Linked DNA regions of Nothobranchius furzeri. The protein of the gene in region 2 purifies or fractionates together with the protein of the main gene of each other region. This does not show direct contact. Links are inferred from orthologs where the notes say so. Each region holds a gene or a part of one and is shown on either strand. Other genes may lie near its edges. The genes, in order: tbl2 and eif2ak3.

Region 1 (4,325 bases), on a different chromosome or scaffold from region 2:
AGCCAACTGTTCAACTTCATGCCTGTGAAAACAATCTTTTATTTCTTTTTCAGTTGCTGAGATGTGTGTTTGTGCCAGACTACCTCTTTTTAAATCCCAGGCACTGAAATGTTTTATTCATTTACAGAAAATATTAGATTTTAATTTCAGCTGCTGCTTGCTAAGGTGTGATAAATTGTTTTTAAAATAATCTTTACAGCACATTACCCCAACTTCAGAAATATTATGTCGTGAATGCAAAATTAACCTCCCACGAGTCAACCCACCATTGATGGAACTGAAAGTGTTTTCTGGTTGTTTAGGACAAAGTCTCAAAGATGCAGGTTTGTTTTTATGGCTTATATTTCCATCTGACTTTAAGGATTTATATATATATATACTTTTTTTTTTTTTGTCAAAATGACCTGTTCTCACTCAGTGATTATCACCTGTGCAGTTATTTTGGGTCAATTTCGAATGAATAAAAAGTTTGGGTTTGTGCGGATGCTTGAACAAATACACCTGAAACCCCTCACTATCTCATGTCATCAAACCGTATGACCAGAAAACTAAAATTAATTTCAATTGTTCAACTCCATTTGATATTTTAGCCGTTTTTAAAGCTTTGTTGCGAAAAATGTAAATAAAAATGAAATGCAAGTGATTTGGTGAACATTAAAAGTTATATTTATTGGTACCATGGCAACACTTTTTAGTGTGATTTAGTGATCTGGCTCGACTTTAAAATCCCACACAGTGCACCGTATGAAAGGAAACTACAGCTGGAATTATATACGTAATATATTTTGTCATTTGCCATTAGTCAAAGAATTTATAATGAATCAAAAGTTGAGAGCTTCTTTTGACGTATTTAAAAGTTTTCATAGCAATAATTTATCATCGTTTTCTGCACGTTTCTCGTTGTCGATTACATTCCAGTCCACTAGGTGGTCCACAGCTATTTTTATTGGATTCACTGAATATCAGTAGTACGAAGTTACACCTACTGTGAGTTTATTTCATGTAAAGCTTTAGTGTATTTTTGCCACTGTGTGGGATAATGACATGTAAGAATACACATTAAATCTTCTAGAGCTGGTGAATAACGATTTAGTACAAAATTTGTCTCCATTTTACTAGCTCAGGCTTTATGATTCACTTTGAGTATATTTCTTTTTCAGGAATAAACTTTTTGCTTTTAGCAAACCAATATTAAACATAAAGCCGATAGTTATTGCTACACAACTTCAGAAATTAAATTAGAAAATTTTGAACATGCGGTTTCTAAGTTATTTAATTTTACAGCTTATATTTACGGTTGAAATTGGGGATCGTGAACGTATCTCTAAAAGAATTGTATTTGAGCGCATGCGCAGAGCCCTGTTAGAATGGGCTAGCTTTTAGCAGTGTATGAAATACGTGGCAGAAATACTTCGACATGGAGATAGCTGCTCTGGTTGCTGTGACTTTATTACTGGGTGCACTGGTTGGTCTGGTGGCATTAGCGGTGGGGAGACGGAAAGAAGAGAAAAGAGAAGAAATAGAGCAAACAGTGGAGAGTTCAGGTAGGAGCACATTACCGCATTGGTGACTCAGAAACGCGGAGAGTTAGCAGCGTTTGAGTCTGTTGAATTAACGCAATTATTCGTTTATCAAATAATTCGATGTTTAATATAAAGTCACTGTGTTTTCAATATTATTCACTCTACCAATTTAAACTCGGACTGAAAACATTAACTGAAGGAACTTTTCAGCGACTACCACCTGCCTTTGGCCGATGGGGACATCTTTTGTTGACGGACCAATGGGGTCACGGTTTTGAGTAACCTGATTGTATCGTTTTATTACCATAATTTAACTGGTGAAACATGTTCTCCGATCAGATCAGTGTGTGATGTTGGCATTTATTACAATAATTAAGATATAATAAATACTTGAAGTGATAATGAATTAGCGATTCACCAGTTTCTTCTGTTTTCACTTAAGTTATGTTGACGTTAATAGAATAACGTCCTTCACAAACGCAAGCCTTCTATTTTTACGCATTTATAGTTCTACCAATTCAGACTAATAATATATAGATATTATTAATTAGAAAAAATGCTCTGTTATATTTTAATTGACAAGCTGACGTATTGTCAGAATTGTGTTGTCAAATACTCTGACGTTTTGACTTGTTGACAAGAACTATCCCCCCCTCCCCACACACACAGTGTAAATTATGACAACTATTTGTGCTTCAGTTGAATCCAGTGCTGCAAAAGGCCCTACGTCTAAGAAACCAAAGCAGGAAAAGCAGCGAAGTCGCAAAGATAAACCTGCACAGCACAGTTTCAGCGATCCATTGTTGGCCTCCTCACTGAAGGTAAACTGAAAACACACACACACACACACACAAAACCTCATCTAAGATCACAGATCATAACACGAAACCAGCTTTACCACAATGTGCATGTATTATTCACAGATAAGCTCACGTTCAGCCTCTGTATCATTTGACCTAATTATATTAAAGTCTTACACACACCTACATTTGTAAAGATATTGTAAAGAGGTTGTTGCCTCTTTAAAAATCTGTCCCTTAATCTTTCTAACTAAAACCAGACTTTTGTTACTATCTCACTTAAAATTACAAGAAACACTCTTAATAAGAGTTTATTTTATTTATTGAAGGGTGGCCTTTTTGCATCATTGACTCAGAATTTACTGCTCACGTGTAGTAATGGTGGACGCGCGTTAAAAATACAAGAAATAGAGATTTTTTTTCTAAATATTTAGCCCTTTTACAATTCCTCCTGCTCATTTGTGTTCCCTCTAGGGCCACAGCGGGAACGTGACATGCCTGGATTTCAGCAGTAACGGGAAGTACTTGGCATCCTGCGCTGATGATCGGACCGTTCGGATTTGGAGCACCAAAGACTTCCTGGAGCGGGAACACAAGTGTCTGAGAGCCAATGTGGAGCTGGATCACGCCACGCTTGTCCGCTTCAGTCCAGACTCCAGGTCTGTCATACTCATTCTGATATAAAACCACCCTAATTTTTTATTTTATTAACACAGACATTAACCTGCTGCTGTTAGTCATTTTTGGGTCATTACTCAATTCAAAGCATTCCTGTCCTGTAGGGCGTTTATCACCTGGCTCGCCAACGGAGACACGATACGCATCTTAAAAATGATCAAGAAGGATGACGGAACTTTCAGCTTCAAGGCTGCACCTGAGGATTTCCCACAGAAACACAAGGCCCCAATAATCAATATTGGCATTGCAGAGACGGGTACAGGACACATTAATAAATTAAATGTTCTTTTATGTTCTTGTTGTTTTTATTTTTATGTTAAAGATCTCCATGTTTCTCACAAGTTTTAAACATGGATATTTTTTCCTCCATGCAGGCAAGTTCATCATGAGTGCCTCCACAGACACTACTATCCACATCTGGGACCTGAAAGGAGAGCTGCTGGCCTCCATCAACACCAACCAGATGACCAGTTCTTATGCTGCTGTCTCCCCCTGTGGCAGGTCAGTCAGAGGAACTTAAATTAAAAATGTGGTGTTTACTTTTTAGACTCAGCATATCTGTAGCTGGGTTTCGTTGCTAAAATCTTTTTTTTTTTTTCCCCTGACCTTTTCAACTCTCAGTGGTGGCGTAAACATCCTGCACCAAAATAGACTTTTAGGGTTTGATGGTGGCTTAACCACAGCACATTTTGCACAAACCTAAAACTAAAACAACTCAAGCTAAATTGGTCTGCATAGTTTTAAAGGATGCATATCAAAATCTGTAGGATTGTCATTGTTTTCTCCCTGTGCTCAGGTTTGTAGCATCCTGTGGTTTCACTCCTGACGTGAAGGTTTGGGAGGTTTGCTTTGGGAAGGGAGGAGAGTTCAGAGAGGTCGCTCGAGCGTTTGATCTGAAAGGCCATTCTGCAGGAGTTCATGCTTTTGCTTTTTCTAACAACTCTCACAGGTAATAAAAGTGTTTGTTTACAACACAGAGCCACAGAGGAGGCTTGTTGTGCTTTGAATTTAAAAGCGATAAGACAAACAGCTTCCAATACCAAAGATGATCTGGGGCACGCTGAGTAATTTCCAGCTTCATTGTGCAAACAGAACTAATGATTCAACACCAAGGGTGTCATCTGATGAGGACACAGTGGGTGTTAAATCGTTAGTTCTGTTTGCACAATGAAGCTTGAAATTCATCAGTGAGATCCAGTTCCTATGTTTGATATCTGAAGCAATCACTCTGCTAAATGGAAAAAACACACAGATTATCTACGACACTTTAATATAACTGATTTGTTTTTCTTTCTTTTATCGATCAGGATGGTCACCGTCTCTA
Region 2 (4,254 bases):
AGGAAGCTTTCGGATAAGGAAACAACTGGAGGAAATGATGCCAAAACAAAAAGTGCAACACGAAACTTCAGGTCTTCCTTGAATCGTCTGCGAGTTTGAGGTGTTTTGCATGTATTTGTGTGTTTTCTCATGTGTTTTTTTTACCTCCACCTTTTAGCAGAAGTTGGGACCATGCCATTAGGTATAAGCTTATACCTGCCTTTATGTTACTATGGTGTTAGGTCACTGGGTGTCTAGAGCCACTTTACACTAAAGTTTCTGTTGTATAAACCAATGTCAGCTGCTGTTCCGAGCCTTAGATGTTTTTGTTCTACCATCTTTAACGTGTTCCTGTGGAATTGAACTAGTCAGTCATTAGGATCGAATTCTGAAGCCTCGGTGTTTGTTGGAGGAAAACAGACCTCAAATGTACTTGTACACCTTTCCCCTTTGTATGACTTCAGTGTTCAATGCCTGTAAAAGACTGCCCAGTGTTGTGCCATACTCATGCTTATAAAAGGATTGATGATTAAAGTGTCTGGCAGCAGTGTGTCCATGCAATCGAAAGGCCACATTTCCTGTGTCTGCGTTCGTCTCTCAAAAATGAGGTCTATTCGTGAAAACGTGGTTCAGGTCCATGCTCACCACGAGACAGCAGCGCCGTTACCTGGTAGGACTATAAACTCCTCATCAGTAACACGGGCACGTAAATGTAGGCTAGGAGCGTGGCTTCATAAACACGTTTCTTTGCTTGATTTGTGTCACAGTCGCTGCATTTTAGTGAAAGTGTAAAACTGAACTCGTAACCGGAAACAGGAACTGCACCGATTACTTCCACCGGGCCACGTTGTTGTTTTTCATGTCGACGGCTCTTGACAACTGCGTCTAAGCGACAGCTGAATTAACCAATCAGGTGCTCACATGAGGTCACTCGAAACTGATTTAGGCCAATAACATTACGTGATTTCATTATCTTTTCTGTCATTGGACGAACGACTAAACATCCGACCAATCTCAACAACCAAACAGATTTTGCCCCCGGGGACTTTTTACGTCACTTATCCAGTGCGCACGCGCACCTGTGACGAACAGGAGTTTAGCCAATGAAACGGAGTGTTTGGAGGCCGGTGTTTCCGGGTCCGCCTCTTTGAGTGACGGATATCTAACGCAATCATGTTGTGCTTAGTAAGCGAGGACGTGTAACTGACAGCGAAGTACGCAATGAGAAACGCGCGCATTAAAACGCAAGGCCCGTGCGGGTTTACGGTCCAATCCCGGTGTGGAAACGAGGCGGGATTTAGCGTTACTACGGAAAGTCTGGGTCTAGTATAAAGAGAACAACATGGTGTCCCAGAGGCTGTTTATGTTTACTTAAAGAGCTCGTTCAGCGGGGCGTCCAGCACGCGACACTTTTATAACCGTAACCTCGGCTCTTTTATACTTTCACCTTGTTTTTATACTAACTTTTACCAGGGCCGTGGCGTGTGCGTCTCCTCTTTCACTAATGTGCCAGTTCTACAAATGGAAAGGGGGCTTCACTTTGGAGTGAGCACTTCCCTGCTGCTCCTGCTCCTGCTGCTCAAAGCGCCCACCGGTTCCGGGACCTCACCCGGCTGGGTGTCGGGCTCGGCAAAACATGGTCCGAGAGTCATGGAGCGGGGCTTGGAGAGCCTAGGCACCCCCCCGGTCCCCGGTGCAGACGTCACCGTGGAGGACGACGAGAACGGGTCGACAGGTGAGGCCGACGACCCGTACGAAGACGGTAACGGAAGCGTCCGCTCCACAAGGTAAACACGGTGCTAGCTGCTGACATCCATTATCGGACACGCTCGTTTCCAACTTCAGGTGACTTGGAAATTACTAAAAGTTGACGGCTTTTACTTTGATGTGTTTCACCGACTTTCAAACCTGCGACGTGAAGGCTGACGTGACACCTGTGTTGTCATGGAAATGCCCAATAACGTGAACGCCATGAGCAGAAAACAGGAAGGTGCTGTCTGTGTCCGATAATCGAGTCACGTTAAGTTTCCCGGAGCTGCGGTTGTGGCTGCTGTGAAAAGATGGATTTTAGAGGTCATTTATGAACGTGAGACACCTCAGCGCGAGCAGGAAGTTCTGGTTCAACAGAACAGAACAAAAGCAGGACGTCCCAGGTGAGCTGGGACAGAGGTTTGTTTGTTTCTGGTGTGCAGTAAACACCAAAGCTGTCTGGTGTCAACAGCAGAGGTGCTGCCAGCTGGAGCAGGAATCACGTGATCTAATGGCTCCAGCAGATCTAAACATCTCAGGCTGTCAGAGGGAACGTCCAGGTGAACGGTCCACTCAGGTTGCAGCAGCTGCTCAGAGAGAGAAGCGTTTTCCTCGGCAACAGCCGGTTCAACGCCCACCCTCGGTGCCTGTTCCTGATGCTGTGTGTGTTTATTCTGAGTGTATTTGTTTTACACACACTCCTGCAGCTCCCTTTGGCTGGGACCTAACCCCAGACAGCACCAGCAGGCTGTCTGTGGTGTTGATGTAGTTGGATCAAAGTCCTGGAAGCCAGAAACCTGTCCAGGTATAGGTGCAGCCTCTGAACATCACAGCAGCAGCAGCAGCAGCATGGTGATGGGTTTTGGTTCAGGCAGATGTGATCTCACAGCAGGGGGCCGCTGAGCTGCTGCAGGACTTGTTTTTGGTTTACTCTCAAGCACAACTCTGGTGCCACAATGGTGAAGCTGTTTGCTGCACGCTGGAAAGGAATCTGAAAGTAATTAGTGGAGAAGCTTTTCTAGGTACGGTGCAGGTTATTCCCCTGCCGGCAGGTCACACCCTGCTCCCTCTCTGCACCTTCATCCCCTAACATTTCTGCTCCCCTCATGAGCCGCCTCTCCTTCACCAAGGAGCCTTTAGTGCACACTAGACTCCCACTTGTGATTCAGACTTCAGAGCATTTTCTAACAAGAAGTTTGGACCTGAAGTGGCTTTTGATGAGGAGGAATCTGTTGAATCTGATCGAAAACGGGAACTTGTGTGACTTTTTTGTTTAGTAAAGAGTGTCCATGAATCCTGTGTGTCCCCATGTCTCTGTGTGTCCCCACATGTCTCCGTGTGTCCCCACATGTCTCCGTGTGTCCCCACATGTCTCCGTGTGTCCCCATGGGACTCCCTGTGCATTTATTACCTTTGTCTGTTGCTCTTGAGTTTAGTCTTGCTCTTACCCTTCCTTGATGTTCAAACACACACACACACACACACACACACACACACACACACACACACACACACACACACACACACACACACAGCGAGCGTAGGGTTAATGTAATATTGTGTTTTAGTGAACCTGACTTGTGCAGCAGGGTTTCCAGAGGTTCTCTGTCAGACGTGAACGTCTGCAGCATCAGAACCTCTCCCAGCAGTAAATGGGTCCGATCTTCTGTCGTTCCTCTCCTGGAATTCCTTTCAGCTCTTCCTGCTGTTTCCTCCTGAACCGGTTCATTGATGGTTACACAACCACTAATGAACGTACAACCTTTTAATTCTTTTGTGGTGATAATCAGATCAGCTGATTGGTGACTCACTCTTTCCAGGTGAGGAGAAACCCTGAGAGTTTGCGTCTTTGTTGACGATCCTCCCCAGAAGCAGCCCTCTGATGTTTTTGTTGTGTATGAGACGTTCTCGTCATCTTCTGTCATCTATAAATATTCTAGATGTCTGCTTTGATCCAGCCTGGGATTGTGACAAGCGGCGCTCCTGTCGTCTGTCAGCTGCTCTGGAAATGCGCTGCTCCACCTGTTAGTGGATGAGCTCTGATGTGACGGTGCTGCCAGCTTTGATGGCTCAGTTGGGCTCTGGAGCCCCTCGGGGAGCGCTCACAGGTGAGAGGGCGCTTATTCCCTCACTCTCCCTGAAGGCCCTGGAACTGCACTAGCTCTTCTGGTTTCTAACGGCCTACTGCTTAGCAACAACCAATCGGCCGCGCTGGGCTACTTGTCGTCCAATTGCAACTAGAAGATGGGTCAGTGCTCATAATTCAAGCGGGACTCTCGGCTCTGGTTACAGAAAGGTGCGGGAGGAAGTGGTCCGCTCTCTGTAACCAGGGAAACGCCTTTAATAATAGACCCAGATGAGCAGCAGGTGACTGATCTCTGCTGAGCCCCCACTGATCCTGGAAGCTGGTTGTTTTAGATGGGAGTTACTGACCCAACTCCATCACATCAAACATGACATCATCTGTCCTGTTAGCATAAAACACGCTTCTCACCCAGCTAGGAGGTTTGACCATCATCTGTGTGA

Evidence for each region.
Region 1: the proteins of eif2ak3 (region 2) and tbl2 purify together in Homo sapiens (affinity purification with western blotting; 3 studies listed by BioGRID). This does not show direct contact. The link is inferred for Nothobranchius furzeri from reciprocal best matches to the Homo sapiens genes EIF2AK3 and TBL2.

The regions. Positions count from the first base shown.
Region 1 is NC_091750.1:52,607,366-52,611,690, reverse strand, and holds the start of tbl2 (transducin beta-like protein 2), read left to right. Parts: upstream 1-1,331; 5' UTR 1,332-1,417; coding exon 1,418-1,544; intron 1,545-2,222; coding exon 2,223-2,344; intron 2,345-2,797; coding exon 2,798-2,982; intron 2,983-3,105; coding exon 3,106-3,257; intron 3,258-3,375; coding exon 3,376-3,502; intron 3,503-3,797; coding exon 3,798-3,950; intron 3,951-4,308; coding exon 4,309-4,325.
Region 2 is NC_091758.1:5,542,438-5,546,691, reverse strand, and holds the start of eif2ak3 (eukaryotic translation initiation factor 2-alpha kinase 3), read left to right. Parts: upstream 1-1,315; 5' UTR 1,316-1,500; coding exon 1,501-1,766; intron 1,767-4,254. UniProt on the Homo sapiens protein: Metabolic-stress sensing protein kinase that phosphorylates the alpha subunit of eukaryotic translation initiation factor 2 (EIF2S1/eIF-2-alpha) in response to various stress, such as unfolded protein response (UPR).